Linked DNA regions of Arabidopsis thaliana. The protein of the gene in region 2 interacts with the protein of the main gene of each other region in a pairwise test. Each region holds a gene or a part of one and is shown on either strand. Other genes may lie near its edges.

Region 1 (5,045 bases), on a different chromosome or scaffold from region 2:
ACAATGTTACAAGAAGAGTCGCTCATCTTTGGTTCCATCGGCCTAATCATGTAGTATCTATATATAAAATGTCCTTTTATATTTTCAATGCATCATTTTTAATAAAACAAAACCATTTATCTATAATCTTTCAGCTTATTTAATAGGAGAAAAAAAAAATCATAAATGTACTTAAAGGTATAAGATAAACTTAAAACACTTTTAAATGTGTGTGAAAAAATCTGAAACAAGGCTTTTATGAAATGAAGATAGTATTTGTTATTGATTAAACTTTTCCATGAATGAAATATATATGAGTTTACTTTCATGAAGATGGCATCTGCTTTTGGAATTGTTGTGAACATATCCTCTGAAACATGCTTCACTCCTATATATAACCGATTTTTAGTAGATTTGATTGTTCTTGACAGCTCAAAGCATCCTAACTTTCGTCTAATACCAATGCTTTTCTTCAGGAAACTGGATTTGCGCATATGAGATCTGTGTTTGACAGTGTGTTCCTCCAGCAAATTTAGACAGAAAAGAGCTGGTCAAACCGGTTTAAAATATTACCACCAAAATAAAATCCACGTTACAAATGTCACTGGGAATAAGAATCCAAATCAAGTTATTTTTTTGAACCAAAAGGAACTAGAAACTGCTAGCAATCATTCAAAACAAGAATTATAAAATACGTTTGGTTAAAAACCAAATCTACTACAGTAAAACCATAATAATGACACGTCTGAGATCTTGTTCTGATGCTCACAAATTGATCTCGTGTGTGTTAACCTAACAATGAATTACACAAAGCAAAGTATCAGTCATCTTCATGAAGCTTACACACACGACAGCAACCAAATACACACATGTAGCTTGAGAAGTAAACAGAGTAAGGCAACATAAAGACTTGATTCACCTCACGATCCTCTTCTCTCGAGGATAAACTGTTTTAAGAAAGCATCTTGAGAAAGCTTTTGTCCAATCTCCCATCATGCAACATATTAGTGACCAAGCCAATGGTTGAAGCATCTCCAACAAACCTGCAACTCCTCATTTCTCTGATGAGTTCAGCTGATGCTGCTTTGTCACCATCTCTCAGATGTGCCCTGATAAGCGTATTATATGTACCACTATCTGGAAGAGGCCCTTCTTCTTTCATTTCTCTAAACAAGGCATCTGCTTCTTCCTTTAAACCTTTCCTACAAAATCCTGACATCATTGTTGTGTAGGTTACAACATTAGGCTTCACTCCTTTAAGGCTGAGGCTACAAAATAGATCCCACCCATCTTCCACCTTCCCTGCCTTGCACATCCCTTCAATCATAATATTATATGTGTAAATATCAGGTTCCATTTTACTCCTTTGCAGATACTCAAACACCACCAATGCTGTCTCTACCTTCCCATTATTACAAAGCCCATCTAATAAAATGCTGTATGTCATAATATCGGGAAGCACACCATCAGAAACCATCTGTTTGAAAACTATTTGGGCATTATCACACTCTCTAGCTTGAAAAAATCCATGGATAAGAGTGGTGTAAGTGACTGTGTTGCCAACCAATCCTCTTTGAGACATCTCGCGGAAGAGTTCCATACCTTCGTCTACTCTCTTAGCCTTACAAAATCCCTTTATAAGAGTATTGTAAGTCACTACGTTTGGGAAACAGTCCTTGCTAATCATCAACTCAAACATGTGCTTGGCCTCGTCTAAACGATCGTGCATACAAAACCCATTGATCAGTGAACTATAAGTGAAAATATCAGGATCTATAGACCTTTTGATCATCTCGTCGTACAATTTCTCAGCCTCTACAAGCTTCCCCTCCTTCACAAATGCATCAATCAATGCGCTGAAAGTGACTACATTTGGATTGATTTTCCTCTCAATCATATCACTGAGTAGTCGAGAAGCATCACTCCATCTTCCGTAATTACAAAGGCATCTTATGAGGGAGTTGTAGGTAACAACATTTGGTCTAATTCCTTTGTTATCCATTTCAGTGAACAGATTGAGTGCATCATTCACGTTTTTGTAGTTGCAAAGAGCATCAATGATAGTGTTGTAGATCACAACACCAGGCTCTATTTTCCCTTGTTCCATCTTCTTTAACAAACTCAAAGCCAAATCAATATCACCTCTCTTACATAATCCATTTACTACAATACCATAAGTAACCAGATCTGGTTGACAACCTTTCACAACCATCCGGTCAACTAAAGCCACTGCTTCTGAAGCTCTGTTGTGGCGAAAAAGTCCATGAATTAGAGTGTTGAATGTGAATGAATCGGGCTGATATCCCATTTCCACCATCTGACCAACAAGAGATACGGCATCTGAAATCCTATTCCCGTGACAGAAACCATTGAGCAGAGAGTTAAGCGTGACAATATCGGGCTCATAGCCGAGTTTCATCATCTTGGCAAGAACAGCTAAAGCAAGAGAGAGCTGAGAGCGTCGGCAGAAACAGTTGATGAGAATACTGTATGTGTAAAGATTATGTGAAATTCCCAAATTTTGCATCTGCTCGCCGAGAGAGATGACAAGATCGAACTTGTTCATCTTAGCAATGGCACTCAACAGTTTACTGAACTCAACAATCGAAGGGAAAGGACGAGACTTGACCATGTCACCGAACAGATTAACCGCATCATCTAGCTTCAAATCATTTAGCCTATTTATCGATATTTTTCTGTAATCATATCTAACACCAGAGAAATCTCGTACCCAGAAACTGCAATGGCTAAAGGAAGGAGGAGCAGTTCCACATTTACCTTTTCCGAGAAGACTCCGATGAACAAATCTGTTTCCCGTCGATGAAATCGCAAACAATCTCCTCATCTTCAGCTGATTGGGGTTTCTTCCAAAATCACTGATTCAGAATCGTAAACTCTCTGTAAACTTGTATAAACCCTAAATGATGAACCTTTTGCAGACAGAGAGAGTAAAGGTTTGAACTTTTGGTTCTACCAAACCAAACAGAGAGAGAGACTCACATAGGCTGAGAGAGTGAGAGTGATATTCATCCAGTTTCGCACCACCGTTGGATCATTTGACCGGTCAAGATTTCATCTTATCATTTTTATCACCGGTTTGGTTTATAATCACATAATGTATTTTTTTTTGGTTTAGTTCTAAATTGAAAGGCCAGCATTAGCAAATAAATATGAAAAAAACAAAGAAGATTATCAAGTTTTGCTATTTTGGTTCCATATTTGTCTAACTATATTTCCTTCATTTTTTTTTTTATTGCTGAGATGTCCCTTTCTAATTAAGGTGAAACCGCGTGGACCTTACCAATTTATATCTTGGATTGTAAAGATCTATATCTGTTTGGTTCCACTTGTATATGATACAATGATACAATACAAGTTTGGTCATTATCATTTTTTCTAATCATATGTCAACAAAACCAAAGTATGCATTCATTTTGCAAAATATACACATCTATTTGTATCACCTCCCAAACATTTCTCCCATTATACGGACTTGGACAAGTATTCATACCTCTGCAAAAGTCTTATTGATAAATGAATGTGAAAGTACATACAATTGGTTTAGAACATTAAACACGAGTTTGGTTTGGACACATGGCTTTCATATACTCCTTAGTGATAAATTATGGTTAATTATAACCATCTTTGAAGTTTATTCTAATATTTTATTTATTAATTTCATTGATATGGTTTCAAACGTCAAGGAATATTAAACCTTTTACGAAAAAATTTCGGGTGGATCATATAATATCTTCCCTTCAATCCTCAAAGTTCTCGAACTCTACCAATACCTACAAGGCTACAAAAATTTATACACCATTGAAATATGCTGCAACGAAGTCCATTTAAGGCCTGATGATAAATTCCTTGGAGATCGACAATAATATCCAAGCGATTGTTAGTGAGATTATAGAGTTAGTCTTTGTTGGATTCAATAGTTTGTTCCACAATGTAAAAGTCGACTATTCTAAAGAAGCCCTTGGCAACTTATTAAATCTTATAAATAGTTAAATATCGAGACCGTAGAACCTTTTGCTATATATAGTTTTTCGTCAGAAAAAAAAAGTCTTCATGCTAGAGAAAAAAAAGTTTAACTTATAAATACCATGCTATAATTAAAACAAAATAACACGTACTACAAATAGTACTAGCTTATATTTTCTCTCTTTTTTAATAATTAATTTTCTAAAAAAATACATATCTTAAGAAAATATTATTAAAATTAATTATGAATATATTATTTTTTGTGTTTTATATTTTTTTATAATTAAAAATCAATAATATTTAATTATTTATCTTGAAATTTGATATTCATCAATAATATCTAATTAATATTGCAAAAAAATCTAGAAATCCATCTTTTAAAAACACTTTTTTGTATAAAAAAAAATAAAAAAATAAAACCCTTTTTGTAAAAAATTCAATTAAGAAAAAATAAAAGGAGTATATGTTTTATCTTCTCTTTTTACTTTAACAAAATACCTTGTTTTTTTGTTGTTTTCAAGTTATATATTTTGTAATCTTGTCGCAGGTCTGAGTTGTTTTTTGCACTCAGAAAAGAAACTTGTACTAAAACCTAGGAGAGGAGGAGCTGGCACCACCGCCTAACTCGCCATTGACACAACACCAAAAACTCTTCTTTACTTTTTGTTATTCTACACACATCGATAAAGATTAAGAACATAATTAATAGAATTCCATAAATAATTAGATGCACTAACTTTTCAACATCAATTCAACGGTTTAAATTCGTGAAAAAGCGTTTTTATTTTATTTTAATGGTTACAACTTTGTAGTTTTTACCCTAAATCTCTCTCTGATTACTGATACTCTGTCTCAATCTCTTCTTTCTTCTAATCCTTTATTTCTTGTAAGCTACTTCTCCTGAATTTCGTATTTGATCCGTTTAATCCAAGTTTCGATTTTATATAACAACCACATAGACAGAGAGAGAGAGAGAGAGAAACAGAGTAATGGCGAACAGAGATGTGGAGAGAGTAGGGAAGAAAAACAGAGGAGCTAATAACAATTATTTCTACGAGGAGTCTTCTGGTGAAACTCATTGG
Region 2 (4,334 bases):
TTGCATATCAAAACGATTTTTAAAGAATTTTAGAAAGTGGTACGTATTAGAAGTGTTCACACACATATATTTATAACATTAAGCATTATATTATTAAAAAGTTATAATTAAGCATATAAATTTAATACATAGATTATAAATAGAGTAAATTTGGAAAAATACCTTTTTCTTCATTTTTACGTTTAAATATGTAAAATCAAACTTAATAAGATTAATAATATCTACGTTACAAATATCAAATCAATTTATTTGTAATAATTAAAGATTTAATTTTTACAAAGTCTTAATATAACTAAAAATTCCAAAAAATTATTATCTTAAATATTATTTTAAAACAATAATGAATAACAACATTCTACCATGGGTATTGGGTACGTGTGCAACACATGTGCTTCCCAGTTCTTACCGTACATTTAGTTTGGTAGTTTGTACGACTTTCCTCATTATATTACACAACGTGATTTTAAATCCGATATAATACATACTATTCACCAATAAAAAAAAAAGGTGAAATCTTCATTGGAAGTACTCGAGATTTGAAAACGATTCAATTAAATTTCGTTATCGAAAGCAGAATTGTAAAATGAGCAAAACATATGATTCTGATTTAAGAACACAAAATAAACAAACATGGGGAAACTTGAAAGCTTCCGAGTTCGATGACCATGCATTGTAATCTTTTCTCTCTTCATTAACATGTATTGTAAATTTGGTTCAGAAACAACTTCAGATGAATTTCTTAAAGAAAACAGATTCACCCATGGATTTCCCGGTTTAAATAAAACGGAATAGAACCCGTAGACCCACCAGCACCTTATGTTTTGTTGTCGCGAGTTGTTCACACATCTGAAATCTTCCCGAACAATGTGACCTCTCCCTACCAAGACGCTCTTAGGAACTTAGACCCTGCCAGTTCACGATGAACCACGTAAGTTCAGTGATCGATTCTAAACATTTTGAGTATGTAACCGCAAGATAATCAAGTTAAAGTTGGAATCTAAAGTGAAACAAGAGAATAATCTAATAGATACTTGGAAGAGGATGGATATCCGAACAGAATATGAAAAGGCAAGAGTAAGATCAAGCATTACTAATACTATTGAGTAGATTATCACACCACAAGCTTAAAATTCATCGTCTTAGAACTCTCATTAAGTAATGTAAATGGATATCGGAAGATCTAGATGTGGTCATCATATGAACATTTAAACAACATTCTATATCAATATTTGTGGACACCGTAAAAATGAATATTCTTGGCATGAAAATCCCTGACTAATATAGTGAACTGTATATGAAAGCAATTGATTTGGAGATCGACGAAGTCTCACTAGTCACATTGTGAACTAAATCGAGTGTCCAAAACAGCATTGAAGGCCTAGAGCAAGGTAAAAAAGTTAACAAAAAGCATTGTAAGAACATGCAGTTTTATCATACATATATGGGAAACAACTATCTAATATGAATTGAGGAGAATTAATCGATCGTATTTAACGACCATGTGTTATTTCGAGACAGAAATGCAATGACCACAATCCACAACCACACATTGGCCTAACCTGTAACTTCATTCAGGAAACAGCAAGTGCTGAATTCACTACTGGCAATGATCAAAAACTATCATTTTCCAAACTCTTTTCATCAACTTATTGTCTTGCAACGAAAAAGAAACTGTAAAAGCAAACTAAAGGCTTCACCATGAGCGAATCAAATTTCAAAACAGAATTCGCTAACAGCAAAAATCATCCAAAACATATGAGCCATTGTTATATTTCTCACTGAATACATACTCTAATACATGACCTAAAACTTTGATTAGCCAACCCTAGATCAATGAACAACTAAATCATCCCGAAAGCAACACAGAATGATAGAAAGTTTAAAAGGAGTTGTAAGAAACAAACCTTGAGGAACCGATGTTGATGTTGTTCCTATGAAGAATCCTACCAGGAGCAGCGTCACCACCATCGATCAACTCTCTAAGCCCCAAATTCTCCACCTCCTCTTCTTTCATCTCCTTCTTCTTCTCCTTCTCCACACGGCGGTTATTAGGAAGCTTCACAGGCAACCTCTCGAAGTAATTCCCGTAGATATACTCAGGCGTGTACCCATTCTCTTCATCAAACAACATGATATGACCATGCCACTCCCAAACACGATAATCCGATTCCTCATCCTCATGAAACCCAACGCAGATGTGGTGTTCGTTGACTGTCACGGCTTGACCTGAATTCGGCTTGAGAGAATCGCTTCGACCAGAGACGATGACTCGGATTAGCTCTTTCTCAAGCCTAGCTTCTTCTCTGTCGAGACTGGTCTGACCTTCTCCGTCATCATCGCCGTCGCTGTCGTCGGATTTGAAGAGGAGGTCGTCTAGGGATTGAGAGAGGAAATGAGAGTTAGGGGGACGAATTTGGAGACGTCCAAGTAGGGTTTGGATTAGGAGGTTGTCGATGTTGCTGTTTCCATTGAAGGAGCTCATCGTTGATCACAAATCGAATCGATCTTCTTCTTCCTCCTCCGATTTTCGTCCTTCTTCTACCCTAAGAGGAGAAGAAGATGCTCTCTCGGGTTTTAGGGATAGGAAAGGGTTTTTGGTTTTGCGATGACGGTTCATTGAGGTAAACGTGGTAAATTTCAGAAAAGGTAAGGGCTAAAATGGTAATATTCATTTAGATAGCATCTGATCACAGATTTGTAAATTGAACTATGGAATTTAGTTGGTTTTAACAAAATTTAAGCAACTTGGGATGGAATCTGAAAGAAAAAAAAAGAGTATACTAAAAGAGAGAAAATTAACACGTATAACATATTGTGAATAAATGACATACTATAAGGTTTTAGGGAGGAATCTTCATCTATTCTTTGATGTATAAAAGATCTAATAGAAGAATAAAACTCAAAAACAAATTGATTAAGATGAGAAATGACACCAAAATTTAAAAAGTGATGACCACAAATGAGAAAAATCCCTGTTTTAGTCTTTGATTATCGGTTTCATACGACAAAAAAAAAAAAGAATTATCGGCATCATCTACCGGATTCATCAGAGGACATACACAACAAATATATCCTTTGAGAAGCCTGACATTTATATGTATATTTATATTTGTGAATAATGCAGTTGTGAGCTTTCATTCCATTGCTTGAGGTGGTGATTCAACGTCTTAGGTTCTCCACGACGTAGTCTGCATAGAGATCCCTACATGACACAAAAGAGTTGTCCCAATTTGATTAGTTAGTTATTCTTTGATATAAACAAATTGCGGCTATTTACAAGGTCATAATATATGAAGTAAATAACAGTAAGTTTCATGAAGGCTACTTACATGGAATGCTGAACTGCGTCGTAGGCTGCAGTTGCCGGAAGGAAGTCGTTAACGGCTACTTCCTTGTTCTCGTTTTTCTTATCTGCAACAAGATTACAAGAGTATGAGCCTCATATCATCCTTAACCAACCAAAAGTTTGTAAGAAAAGAACACTCACAGTCTTCAAAGAAACGGCGGATCTCAGCCATACGATGAGGCGGAAGCTCACTGATGTCGTTGTAATGGCGATACTCTGGATCGTCAGCGCAGACAGCAATGATCTTGTCGTCTTTCTCACCCTATTCAAGCAGAAAGAGCTTCTAGTTTCAATCTCTGTTACTTTTATAAGTACTAATATGACAAGTACGTTGAATATCTAACCTGATCAATCATTGGCATCAGACCAATAGCTTTGGCCCGAAGAAAGCATCCTGGGATCACCGGTTCCTGTAGAAAATATTCAACAAGATTCACATGAGATGTGTTTTCTACCAGTCAAATAAGACAGACTGAGATGCTGATGATGCTTATAGACTTGATTGATTAATAAGAGGTTTTAAATTCCAGAGTAAACACTAGAAAATCCACACTCTAAACAATATGCTGAGACACCTTTATAAGCCTAGCAGCCACTAACTGCTCGATAACTGACTGGCAACATTTCTCATCTGCTACATTCATTCCTAAGCTACACAGTTATAAAGTAGAGTCTATAGCTAAGAGTTGAGCGCTTGAACTTCTTCAAAGCTTATCAGATGCACAAATCAAAATAGAACAAGAAACATTATGTAATGAATTATGCAGGTTCTCAAAATTGTATGAAAAAATATGTTACCTGCATAATGACAAGAACATCAATAGGGTCACTGTCCTCACAAAGGGTACGCGGAATGAACCCATAGTTGTGTGGGTATACGACAGATGAGTAAAGAATACGGTCGACCTGAGAATATGTGTAAAGTTTAGACAATCGTACCTCTAATAATGAAAGGGACAGCGAAGAAAGTTAATGCAATCAAATTTAT
Region 3 (4,368 bases), about 18 Mb from region 2:
TCCATCAAACCATGGCGAAGAAATTCTAAGATTGAAACAGAGATTCTAGCAAATTCGAGAGATGCAAGTCAAACGAAGACTTTTTTTTAATTGAGTAAATCATTCGAACCCTAAGGAAATCCACAATCGCACGGCAACTAAGACGGAAACACCAAGAAACAAATCAAACATGAAATTTATGAAATAACTTACAGGTATTCTATCTGGATATTTCGCAATGATGTTGTTCGACTCCTTCAATCTCTCATCTATATCCTCAAACAAAGATGAAAACTTTGCTTCAGAAGCACATTTCGAAGGAAAAAAAATTCCAAAGAATCAGAAAGAGATTAACGAAGAACAAACCAGAGGAGAATTGATCCTTGAAAGACTTGACAACAATCCCCATTACAGATTTCACGACGAATGATTCCTGACCGAATCGGTGTTTTTTTGTTTGCAGAGAGCAGAGGAAGAGGATGTGTTCAATTTTATGTTTGGTTAGTTCGTTTTTGATTGTTCGAGAAGAAACGGTAAAAGATGAGAGAAAAGAGATTATTTATAGAAAGACGACACGCACTTATCCACTTTTTGGACTTGTCCGATTTCTTGTGCACGTCACAGTTTATCTATGGGCCTCTATTCATAATTTTGGGCCCATCAAAATATATAACACGCATAGCTGCAAGAACAATCAAGTGTATTACAAACTCTTTTATTCTACTCTTTCAAGTGAGACATCGATCTCTCCTTGCAGAGAGAGAGAGAGAGAGATTCACACACAAACCGCAATCATCCTGCCGGAAGATTCTCCATCTCTTTTGTAGCAACAGTGCGATCCATAAGCTTTTGCCTCTCTTGTTCCAAGTAATAGATCTTATCATTCATACCTTCTTTTTCATACGCCTCGACCATGATCTCAAACGTTCTTGAATCGCATACGCATTGTCTCTCCTTCATTCTTATGTACACTCTTTCCATCTCTATCAGATCATCTGCTTTAGCACACGCTGATATCACCGCGTTGTAAAAGGCAGTATTCTCGGGTATCTCAAACTTAGCAGCCAACTGAACACTACTTATCACCTTGTGGAAAAGACCGGCATTGGCATATCCGTTTATGAGACAGCAAAAGGTCTTTGTGTCTGCTTTCATACCTTCGCTACGCATCTGATCAAATGTCAACTCCATGTTCTTTGCATCACCAACATCCGCAAACGCCTCGATGATATTGTTGTAGGTTGATGTTGTCCACGGAAACTCTAGCTTTCGCATGTATTCCATGACAGACGACATCTTATCATACATTCTCTTCTTCCCATAAGAACCAATCAAAATATTGAAAGTCCGAGTCTCTGGCTCAATCCCAAAGTTCCTGAACTTTTCGTACCAGCTCTCCATCATGTCTATCTTACCCATGTTTCCAAACACACTAAGGATGATATTCATAGTCCACACATCGGGTTTGCAAGCAGTACTCACCAACATATCAGACAAAACTTTCTCCATCTGATCAAACCTTCCGACCCTACCGTACCCACTTAAAACTATGTTCTGGGTCACAGTGTTTGGAGTTATCAAACGCTCGTCCATTTCCTTGTATAACGAATCCACCAAGTCAAACTGAGAAGCATCCACACAAGCCTTGAGCAGAGTGCTGTACGTGAAAACATCAGGTTGGCATTGAGGAAAGCTTTTCATTTTATCAAGAATTGAAAAAGCATCGTCGATGAGATTGCTGCGAGTGTAAGCAGCGAGAAGAGCAGTGTAGAGTTCAACAGTTGGTTCAAGTCCTTCTTCAAGCATTTCGTCGAACAGCTTCTGTGCACGATTGGGTTGACCAGATTTACCGAGAAGAACAAGCAGCTTCATGTAAGTTCCTTCCTTTGGTTGATAAAATGTTTGTTCCCTCAACATATCAAAAACCTAAGATCATCAACAAAATACCCAATTCAATCAAAATCATCTTTCAGCTAAATTATACTCGTGATTCAAAATTGAGTTCAAATTCAATCAAACATGAACGAGAAGAGAGAAAATCGAAATACCTCGAGAGCTTGTAACCACTGCTTTTTGGCGATGAGATCGGACAAAGTTTCAGTGACGGTGTTAACCCATCCGTTAGCTTTGCTTCTCCTGTCAAGTTTCTTCTTCACATTCTTTATCGGAGTTCTTCTCTGATTAACCGGCTCCGTGATTCCGGGGAATTCGCCGTCTTTCCAAAGCCTCTTCTTCGTAACACTTCCCGGAGAAGATTTCGAAGCAGCCAAAACGCATCTAACGATGCCCACATCTCTGTGACGAAACCTACGCTTACCTTCGGGGATTCTGGATGAACATAGCGAAGAAGAAAAGGAGAGAGACATTGACGCCATCGTCTTCTTCCTTCACACCTCACTGTCACTCTGTTTACGGATAATTCCCGTCGATACTCATTTCGGTTGGATATGGTAAAATACCGGTTTATATAACCGAACCGGAAACACATTTGATCCGTTCAAATCCCTTAAAAACCGGATCGTATTTTTAAATATGATCACATAATTGATCATTTAAAAATAATACGAGGCTATTTTTTTGGTGTTCAAAAAGATAAAAATAATAATATGAAGCTCGCATCTCTGTAAGTATATATATATATAAAACTAAAAGGAAAATCACGAATTATAGTATCAAAAATAGATTTAATAATAAAAATAAGGATTGGTGACTGGTGCACAAAAGGTGGTAACAAACAAACACAATCTTGACTAAATTCTATAGAAATATCCCAAAGAAAAAAAAAACAAATCCAGAAAAATATTGTATATTGATTTTGATGATGTCGATGTTGATGTGCAGATATTACTCTTTTATCTATTGCTTCCGTTGGAGTTTAGTTTTGTGGCAACAGTCTATTGTATGACTATCTGGGGATTTGGGAGTTTATCCGGCCGGCAAGCATACATTCATTGGTGTTGTTTGCAACGTTTACAACATTGTTATCATCTATCTTTTATTTACCATAGTAAGCTCTCTCTCTCTCTCTGGCTCTCACTTATTGATGAATATATAGATAAGTAAACTATTAAACTGGTTTTGATAAGTTTTTAATGCGTGAAACAATTAGGACAAAATGCCGCCGGAGACTAAGACCTTCAAGTACATGCCGTTTTGGCTATCGTTAGTTCGTTTCATCAACGCTGGAATTTGGACTGCTTATTCTTTGATCTACATAATTGATATCTACGTCCTTGTAAGTCCTTTTTTGTTTTTGTTTTGATCTACATAATTGATATCCTTTTTTGTTTTTGTAAGAAGGGCGAGCTAAAGAGTTTGAAGAGCTTAAAGGCGAGCTGAAGAGCTTAAGGCGAGCTGAAGAGCTTGAAGACGAGTTGGAGAGCTTGAAGACGAGCTGGGGGACTTGGTGAAGAGAACGAGTTGATAAGCTTGACGAAGAGGAGCGAGCTAACGAGCTTCTTGAGAAGGGCTCGCTGACGAGCTACTTGAGAAGGACGAGCTGACGAGCTATTTGAGACGGACGATCTTCGTGAGACGGGCGAGCTGACAATGTGCTGTCTCGGTGATAGTCAAGCGAGACGACACGTAGTCCATATTAGAAAGGGGTCAAGCCACACGTAGTTCATATTAGAATAAGTGAGCTAGGCCGTCATTGGAGGTAGGTCGGCAGGTAGTTGACGAGCCGGCAGATGTGCGACAAGCTGGATGAACCGTGGTAGAGAGACGAGTTGGATAAACCGAGTTGTTTGCTGAAGGTCTAGACGAGCTGGACGACGAGATAGGTGGACTATGCAGTCAATGGACGAACTGCCGCTAGGCGAGGAGGTAGATGAGTTTTGTTTTCGAGGGATGAGCTGATAGCTAGACGAGGAGTTGGACGAGCTGTATAGATGACAGCTAGACGAGGAGATGGTCGTTGAGTGGAGCATGAAGACGAGCTGAGAAGCTTGAAGACGAGTTGAGGAGCTTGAAGACGAGCTTAGCAGCTTGTTGAGCTTAATGGCGATCTGAAGAGTTTGAAGAGCTTAAAGACGAGTTGGAGAGCTTGAAGACGAGCTGAGGGACTTGGTGAAGAGAACGAGTTGATAAGCTTGTCGAAGAGGAGCGAGCTAACGAGCTTCTTGAGAAGGGCTCGCTGACGAGCTACTTGAGAAAGGCGAGCTACTCTGTGTCTGCGTGTCAGGCGGAATTCCCCCCTTCGACATGACATGCTATTCCGTATTTATAGCACTACGCGTGTAGGGCATTCATCGAGGGATTTGACGAAACTACCCTTCGCCTTAATACTCCTCCTTGGTTTGGAACTTATTTTGGGCTTTTGACTTGGGTTTGGGCATTGGGCCAAGTAGGCCCAATCCGACCCCTAATAGTTCGGCAAGGAGGAGTATA

The links.
Region 1: the proteins of AT3G53630 (region 2) and AT1G63130 interact in a two-hybrid assay, tested with the Arabidopsis thaliana proteins (one large-scale study listed by BioGRID).
Region 3: the proteins of AT3G53630 (region 2) and PPR2 interact in a two-hybrid assay, tested with the Arabidopsis thaliana proteins (one large-scale study listed by BioGRID).

What each region holds. Positions count from the first base shown.
Region 1 is NC_003070.9:23,410,633-23,415,677, reverse strand, and holds AT1G63130 (Tetratricopeptide repeat (TPR)-like superfamily protein), read right to left. Parts: upstream 3,161-5,045; 5' UTR 2,825-3,160; coding exon 932-2,824; 3' UTR 523-931; downstream 1-522. Other genes in the region: RBL2 (RHOMBOID-like 2), read left to right, coding at 4,953-5,045.
Region 2 is NC_003074.8:19,882,134-19,886,467, reverse strand, and holds AT3G53630 (uncharacterized protein), read right to left. Parts: upstream 2,608-4,334; 5' UTR 2,483-2,607; coding exon 1,905-2,482; intron 1,379-1,904; coding exon 1,276-1,378; 3' UTR 907-1,275; coding exon of another isoform or gene 900-906; 3' UTR 530-899; downstream 1-529. Other genes in the region: PPa4 (pyrophosphorylase 4), read right to left, coding at 3,160-3,202, 3,330-3,411, 3,488-3,608, 3,691-3,756, 4,145-4,252.
Region 3 is NC_003074.8:1,955,887-1,960,254, forward strand, and holds PPR2 (Tetratricopeptide repeat (TPR)-like superfamily protein), read right to left. Parts: upstream 2,419-4,368; 5' UTR 2,355-2,418; coding exon 2,028-2,354; intron 1,906-2,027; coding exon 772-1,905; 3' UTR 523-771; downstream 1-522. Other genes in the region: ATG8H (Ubiquitin-like superfamily protein), read right to left, coding at 193-248, 346-388.